Linked DNA regions of Canis lupus familiaris. The protein of the gene in region 2 interacts with the protein of the main gene of each other region in a pairwise test. Links are inferred from orthologs where the notes say so. Each region holds a gene or a part of one and is shown on either strand. Other genes may lie near its edges. The genes, in order: BCL2L12 and GSK3B.

What was found.
Region 1: the proteins of GSK3B (region 2) and BCL2L12 interact in a two-hybrid assay, tested with the Homo sapiens proteins (2 studies listed by BioGRID and IntAct). The link is inferred for Canis lupus familiaris from reciprocal best matches to the Homo sapiens genes GSK3B and BCL2L12.

The regions. Positions count from the first base shown.
Region 1 is NC_049222.1:107,547,112-107,551,603, forward strand, and holds the start of BCL2L12 (bcl-2-like protein 12), read right to left. Parts: upstream 2,961-4,492; 5' UTR 2,947-2,960; coding exon 2,808-2,946; intron 2,172-2,807; coding exon 2,057-2,171; intron 1,847-2,056; coding exon 1,704-1,846; intron 417-1,703; coding exon 330-416; intron 235-329; coding exon 143-234; intron 1-142. Other genes in the region: IRF3 (interferon regulatory factor 3), read left to right, coding at 4,056-4,220.
Region 2 is NC_049254.1:24,131,080-24,134,890, forward strand, and holds part of GSK3B (glycogen synthase kinase-3 beta), read right to left. Parts: intron 2,754-3,811; coding exon 2,567-2,753; intron 1-2,566. UniProt on the Homo sapiens protein: Constitutively active protein kinase that acts as a negative regulator in the hormonal control of glucose homeostasis, Wnt signaling and regulation of transcription factors and microtubules, by phosphorylating and inactivating glycogen synthase (GYS1 or GYS2), EIF2B, CTNNB1/beta-catenin, APC, AXIN1, DPYSL2/CRMP2, JUN, NFATC1/NFATC, MAPT/TAU and MACF1.

The DNA.
Region 1 (4,492 bases), on a different chromosome or scaffold from region 2:
TTACAGACCCTTCATAGAAGCCGAGTCCCACCGTCTCCTCACCTGACCATCTAATGAGAATGCAGACCTAGGTTCTGATCCCAGAGCTCAACCATCCCGCAATCCCTATCCCAGCTAAGGGATGGAACAGACTGCCTGGTACCTTCTGGTTGATGACTTCAGCCTCTTCCTCCAGCAAGGCAACCAGCTTCCGCAGTAGGGCTTCCTTCTCTGTGAGGGGGGGACCCTGTAACTCTGGGGGTTAGGGATGCAGGAGAGAATTCAGCTGGAGGCAGAACCCTGCCAACCCTTCCACCCTCACCCTTCTCCGGGGCCCCTCTGTATCTCACCTGGGCTAGGTGGGGATCTCAGCTGCTCTTGGACCAGTTGTTCCAGCCGCTGGGCCACCAGAGCATAGAAATCGGAAGTGGCTGGGCCTGGAGTGAAAAGAGCCAGTGATGGGTCTCTGGGACATCAGGAACCCATGGATTCTCTTCTTGTCCCAACCATCTTGCCAGGGAGCACTGATTTCCATTTCCTAATGGGGTAAACTGAGGCAGTGAGTGCACTTGCCAAAGGGCTTTGTACTTCCCATTTTATTGTGTTGCCCAAACTAGACTTAGAATGTTAGAGGTGAACTAGACCTTGAAAGAATATTCTAGGGCAGCCCCGGTGGCTCAGCAGTTTAGTGCTGCCTTCAGCCCAGGGTGTGATCCTGGAGACCCAGGATCAAGTCCCACGTCAGGCTCCCTGCATGGAGCCTGCTTCTCCGTCTGCCTGTGTCTCTCCCTCTCTCTGTGTGTATGACTCTCATGAATAAATAAATAAAATCTTAAAAAAAAAAAAAAAGAATATCCTATCCAAGAAAGGCAAACACAGGGCACCCCAGCTATTACCACGGTATCCCTTGCCGTTCTCAGGCCTCATCAATTGATCACAGATCTTTCCTCCCTGCTGTGAAATCCTTTTCTTTTCAAGCTAGCACTCCCAGTAGCCATTTCCTAGTCTATGGAGGCTTACATAGGAGTTTTTGGTTACTCTCAGTTCCTTTTGGTTACTCTTAATGGAATCCAACAACACCCCCTCCCACTCTCACATGCACACATAGGCACACATTGCTACTTTACTTCTGAGGAAGCATAGGAGCAAAAAAGAAATTGAATTTCCCTGAGTTGTGTAACCGAACAGCCAGGGATCCGTGACCGAAAACCAGGTCTCCTGCCTCCCTAGGATGATGGGGGGATACTAGTGGCAATAAAGTCCTAGAAGTAGGGAAGCATGCACAGGAGGAGAGATAAGCAGAAAAGGACAAAGCCCCCTGAAGCCAGCTCACAGAATTGAGAGACAGCAATAACTGGGGGTGGAGGTGGGGGATCAGAGAGTGGTGAGGGGAGTCCTCACCCTAGCTCCTGTCTTAGCTGAGTGATCTTGGACTAGCTCCTTCTCCTTTCTATGCTTTGAGAATCAAAGCTCCTGGGGACGTCTGGGTGGCTCAGTGGTTGAGCATCCGCCTTTGGCTCAGGCCTTGATCCTGGAGTTCCAGGATCGAGTCCTGCATTGGGCTCCCTGCAGGGAGCCTGCTTCTCCCTCTGCCTGTATCTCTGCCTCTCTCTGTGTGCCTCTCATGAATAAATAAATAAAATCTTAAAAAAAAAAAAAAAAAAAAAAAAAGGTTCAAAGTTTTGGCCCTGCCGGTGTCCAGGTGATCTAGGAAAATCTCTTACCAGGCTCTGAAACATAGCATGGGCGGAGGGGCAAGGAGCAAGGCCGAGGGGACACAGGGGGGTCTGCTCCTCGCCCCAGGGGACAGGGAAGACATCTTCGAAGACGGCTCAGGAAATCTGTTGGCTCCTCCTGGGCAGGACTCCTGGGGAAGGGGACCTCAGAGAATGACTGCAGAGGCCCCTTGCAAGCAGTCCCTTCTTCCTCCCACTGAGGGCCTGTCACTGCAACCCCAGGGACAAGGATAAAGGGCCAGATATAAAAGAGGGGAACGCAGACAGAGACCAGGTACAAAAGTTAGAGAGGGCCCCACCCCAAATGCAGGCCCCAGCGGAAAGAAGGCAGCTCCTCTTACCTGGGTGGGGTAGGGCTGGGGAACCCAGCAGCCTCACCTCGCCTAAAGAAGGCAGCTAGGACTCTCAGCGTGTCCTCCCGGAGCCCCAGCTCTTCTGAGCCTGCCATGGGGGCACCTGTGAAAAAGGGAGCTGGGGGATGGGCTCCAGGGTTGAACTGAAGTGGAGGATTGGTGCCCAAATGCCTAGTCCCTGAATAAGGAGGGCGCCAGGACCCACGAATTCCCGAAGGAAGAAGGGGGTGAGAGTCTCAACTCCTAAATCCTTTAGGGGAGTTAGGGTCTGGGGACCCAGACTCTTGAGTTCTCAGAGGGAGAAGAGCGATGAGGCCGAAGACTCCTTGATCCTTGGAGAGGAAGAGGCTTAGGGACCCGGGTTCCTGGGGTCAAAAGACTGGGGGCTGGACTCTGAAGATTTTTTGGAGAAGGGGGCTGGAGGATCTGAATTGTTGAGTCTGAGAAAGAACGGAACTTGGGGCAACGACTTCTGGTTTCTGGAGGCATAACGCCAAGCCGCTCATGCTCTTAGAGAATCAGGAACTACGAATCCCAGCAGGCTTCATGGCAAACCTTCCCCTCGGTCCGCACTTGTGCGCCGCGCAGCCTCCTTGGGAAGTGTAGTTCCATTATCTGACCCACGCTGGAATCTTGGGGACCCGGGGTGCATAGATGTCCAGGAAGCGGGACTGAGGTGCCCGCTCCTAGACCCGTCCTTTTCCCTTCTCGCCCCAGCCTGCACAAAAGCCCAGCTTACCTGGGGCCGGGAAGCCGCCGACCCCCTCTCCTTCACCGAACTTGAGCAAACTTTTATTAGTGCAACTTTCCCGCGCCTGCGCACTGGGCCGGGTTGGTGTCAGCCCCGTAGTGGGAGGGGCGGAGCGCTGGATACCCATCTGATTTGCATGTGGCGTTCCCAGCATGCCTTTGGCCGGAAGACCTATAAAGGGCATAGCGGGGGGGGAGGGGAGAACCGGGGGCGTCCGGGTTCTTGGTGCCGCCTCTTTGGCTCTGGAGTCTTGTCAACCAATCGCAGATAAAGTTGTTTTTGTTTTATGAAATCGATAGAAAAGAAAACCCTCTTTCTCTGAAGCTCAGCTGACGGGAAGTAGGGTGTGCAGCTGCAAGTTCGAGAGTTATCGGACCCCAAAGGCAGGGGCGGGTTCTAGCACCCTGAGCGCCCCGACCCTCTACGTAGGTAACTGGGAAGATCTGGGGAATTGGTGGCGCCCGGGGCGAGAAACGCGAGACGTGCTGGGTCTGCCCTGAGTCTAGAGGAGCAAGGTGTACTCTAGGGAAGGTGAAGCAGAGTTCGAGTAAAAGTGAAGCTATGGCCGCTGCCGGAGGTCGGCTGTGAAATAAAAAGTAGTAGCGGGGGCGGGGGGGAGGCGTCTGCATGGGGGGATCTAAGGCAGAGAAGAGCAGACTCTGAAAATGGGAGGCAGTCCACTCTATAGAGTATGTGTGGGGGGGGGGTGCCCTAGAGGAAGGAAGCTGTTTGGGGGGAAGGATGGTGGATGGAGGGTCCACCGTGGAAATGGGTGAGGGGCTCTTCTGTAGGAGTCCGCAACACAGATAAGTGCGGGAGGTAGAGATCTACAAGGTAATAACGTCTGCCCTGAAATAACCAGGGGAGTCTCTACCTTGGACGCGGAGGTGACTGCCTTAGGTGATGTGGGGGAGGGGAGGGGAGGAGAGGGTTTACAACGGAAGAGGGAAGAATCTACCCTGGCTGAGTTGGGGAGGTAGAGGATCTGCTCAGGAGGAGGTGGGGAAAGACGGGCCGTCTCAAATGGATTGGGCGGGAAGTCCTCGTTGACTTGGGGGACTGTCTGGAGGTGAAAAGAGGAGTTGTCTTGTTTTATACCCCAGGAAAATATAAGTGAGGGACGCTGCACCGCCGCCCCATGAGAGGAAGGTCTGGGAGCGGAACCCTCGGGGGTGGGGGCGGGTAGCTAAGAGGCCATCCGCGCCCACGAACTGCCCTCTAAGCGCAGGCCGGACCATGGGAACCCCAAAACCGCGGATCCTGCCCTGGCTGGTGTCACAGCTGGACCTAGGGCAGCTGGAGGGGGTGGCCTGGCTGGACGAGCGCCGCACGCGCTTTCGCATCCCTTGGAAGCATGGCTTGCGGCAGGATGCCCAGCAGGAGGACTTCGGCATCTTCCAGGTGCGAGAGCTTCGTGCCGCCGGGGAGCCCTGAGCTAACCTACCCGAGGGGTGGACTCCCAGGGGGCGGAGCCGAGAGGGAGGGGTTAGCCTGCGTAGGGTCGGCCGGCGCTGACGGTGGCAGGTGGAGGTGAGTGGAGTTAGGACAGGACTGGGCAGGGTTAGGAGGATCAGCGGACGGATGTCGCAAGGCGGGCACGGCTGGAACGGCCAGGTTCCGGAAAAAGAACCGGAAAAGCGGGGTTAGAACTCGAGAGAAATGCAAACTGGGGA
Region 2 (3,811 bases):
GCTTCCTTGATTCATGTTTTGAGAAACAAAGTATTTATTGGAGAAGATACTTAGTGTAAATAAAACCACAATCAATGCTAGTTCAGGAAACTCAGGTTCACCTGATCAAAGTGGTGAATAGAAAAAGAAAAAGAAAAAAAGAAAAAGGAAAAGGAAAAAGAAAAAGAAAAAGGAGATAAATAATTTAACATTAACTTAGTAGTTTCTGATGCCAAGATTCCACAGTTACAAGTGTTGCATGTCACTGTATACATAGCCTTTTAGAGGCCACTTTAAAAAGCAACCTAGCAGATAGTTCTATGTGCAGATAATAAAGATACTTATAGTACAAAGAAAGACCCCAAACCAAACATTTATGAAAATGGATACTTGTAGAATTTCCAGTAGTGGCTTCATATAGATTCAAAAGGTGCTTCATATCAAAAAATTTAAAAATAGCTCTACTGATGAGAAAGAAACAGGTGTAAAAGATGCATATAAAAAGTATTAATAAAATTGTTTTATGAAATTTGAGGTTAAAAAGTTCCTGAATATTAATTTTATATAATGCATAATTTTATTTATTTTTTCATTATTTTAAATACATTTGAGTTAACCCAAGAAACCCTTTTGGGATCTTTTTTTTTTTTTTTCTTTTTCTTTTGGTATCTTCTTAATGGGAGAGTAGAGTATCACTTTATATTCATGGATTATCATAGTATATATTAAAGACTGAAAAGAGCTAGACTATAAAATATTACAGTGATTAATTCAAAAGCTAAAAGTGATCATTTGGGGATTGTGATTTTAATGTTCTCTATACTTCTTTTGCATCTTCAACATTTTCTTTAATATATATAGTGCTACTCTTAAGACAAAACAGTAAAAACTGAAAATAAAAAAAATTTTTTAATGACAGAGTCACAGAATCTGCTCTAGAAGAGTCTAACGTATTACCAAATTGGAGTAATCTTATCTATAACATTTGACATCATCCAGCTTTTTCCTAATACAGAGACTGGTATTTGGGGATGGTGGTAGGATGGAGTGGGGAACAACAAACAACAAAAACAAAACCACACACACAAAAAACAACAAATAAAAAGCACAACAAAGAAACCTGTTCCACTGTTAAATAAGTGAAAACTTTACTGATTCATCAATAATTTTATTTAGTCTCTATCTATGCCAGGGGCTGATATCATAAACTCAAATATGTACTATTCTCTAATTTTTTTGCTACTACTATTTTCAATTTTATAATCAGGAGAAAGAATACAGGTCTACATCTTTCTTCAGAAGATAATCTATGAGGTATTTTTACATCATTCTCAAAAGTTCCTTAAGTCTTCACTTTTCCAGGAAGTGGAATTCTGTTCCTTTACATACCCCACCTGCTATTTGATAACATCTTAAAATGGTATAGCTGGGACCTAAAACAACACTCCAGTGATTTCTGATCAGCCCTAAACAGTCAGAATTAATCCCAGGATATCTGAACATTTTTTCCTTTATGAATGTAGTTTCAGACTGTATCAGCACTACTAGTAGTTACACATTATTGACTGCTTAAGATTATAGTCAATGGAATCATCCAAGTCTATTTTGCCAGTAACTGAGGTCTTCCACATCTACTGCTTAAGCAATACATTTTCCCACTTTCAAATTTAGAAAAGTTTAAATATGGGGGGGGGGGGGAATTCATCTTAGAATAAAGGAAATATAATTATTTCCTGGTCACAGAGAGCTTTCCATCTCCCTTCTATATTTTAAGCTTGACTAAGCTGACCAATCAATCAATTGACCACTTCTTGCTTGTTTTATCTATAGGAAATTGTACACTTTTAATGTGCAGTTTATGAAGAAAATCACAGCATCGAAGGCAGTGTAGTTGATTAAATGAATTACTTAGGGTCTTAATCTGAAAGGAAAGAAAAGTGAACACAGAAGTAATTAAGAAACAATGATTCTTCCTGGGTCTTTTAGAAAGCACCAGTACACAAACTCTGTTTTTTCCTCTCAGTATTTTCTCAGAAGCAGCCATGGTGCCAAGCTCCACAAGGGAAGAGAATTTCTCTATCTACATCTCTTATACAAGTTCTAAGAAAGACAGTTATATAGAATTCCATTGTTTCCTTCTGTTTATAAGTAAGATATCTGACTTTATACAAATACAGTCACCACCAATTTCACCAATTGATTTCCAGGTTTAAAAAACTTAATATAAACACTTGGAAAAAAATAAACACTTGGGAAGTAAGAAATGCTAAAATTCTAGTCTCAAATACAAACTTGAGGGTTAACTTAATAGTGAAATCTCTATAACTTCTCATGTGCCAAGATTTATTATAATCTGCCAAAAATGAGAGAAGCTATGTCTACTGGAAAAAATTTTATCTGCCACTATTTTGTTTAAAACCATACAAGTAGTAGCCTAATCAGTTGTTGGAAGGGATGTTTGCTACCTGTATAAGTACTTAATATGCCCACTTTCGTCCTACAGATTTTAATTAAAAGAATATAACCTCACACAGATAGGTAGCTTTCTCAGAAATGGTAAAAAACAGAACTAAGTATCTGGAATTACCTTGAGTGGTGAAGTTGAAGAGTGCAGGTGTGTCTCGCCCATTTGGTAGTTTGACATTTGGGTCCCTTAATTCATCAAAAAATGAATGTGCACAAGCTTCCAGTGGTGTCAATCGGGCAGTTGGTGTATACTCCAGCAGACGGCTACACAGTGCAATTGCCTCCGGTGGAGTCCGGGGTCGGAAGACCTGCAGTACAAAAAAAGGTAAAGAACAATTAATGCTTTATTGTAAGAATCTTAGCAAATTATCCTTTGAGTACTGAGTTAATTCCCACCACGTACAACAACATGGTTGCATTTGTGAGAGGAACCTTCTAGAATGAAAAGAGTTAACTGCATATGATTCACTACATTGAGGTGAACAGCTAATTACAAACTATATGAGGAAAACTCAGAGAAAAAACTAGGGGAAATTAAAAAAAATCTACACTTGCTAATCATAAAGCAGTACAATGAAATATGTACACAAAATAGGATATCATAGGCACAAAGAAAGGCTGGGTTCTGGAGGCAAGCACCAACTAGAAGAATATTAAAATTTTCTAAAAGTTTTGACTACTGTGGCAGTAGAATAAAAGATTGCCTCTTGTGTGTGATTTTTAGCAGAACAACTGTCAGTAATGGACAGCACTACTCAAATTTGGCAATCAATATTTTTTTGGGGAAAAAAGCTATTTACTTTAGCTTTAGCAATGCTAATGATCTGCTATTATCTCTTCAATAAACAGTCTTATTTGAAGAAATTCTTGAATACCCAGAATTTGACAAAATGTCCAAAACTGTTTTCTCAAAGAGTAGCTGTTATTACAAATATGGTCAGATTACCCTCATTTGGATGAATATTCTAGGGTTTTAATTAGGGAGAGAGAAATGTACTTTTCATTAAGAGCCATTAACTCTAGAAAAAGTCAACTGAAGGCTGTGCTGAAGCAAAATTCAAATAAATTAGTTTGCTTAAAAGAATAGAAAGCTTTCTACACATCTTTACCTTAAAACTCCAAATCAATACACAGAACTATGAAAATAGCTTTGCTCTAAATTATAGACAGTTGAAGAATAGAATCAGAAAGGGGAAAAACAAATAAACATAAACAGATGGACAGAAAGCCTTTGAAACTAAAGAAAAATGAAACATATTCCTTGATAGGTGGAACACAGACCAAATAGAAGGTGTGGTAGTGGCAGTGGACAGATGTATGTAAAAAGAGAGGCAGATATGTATAAAGGGAGGGAAATTGTGAAGGA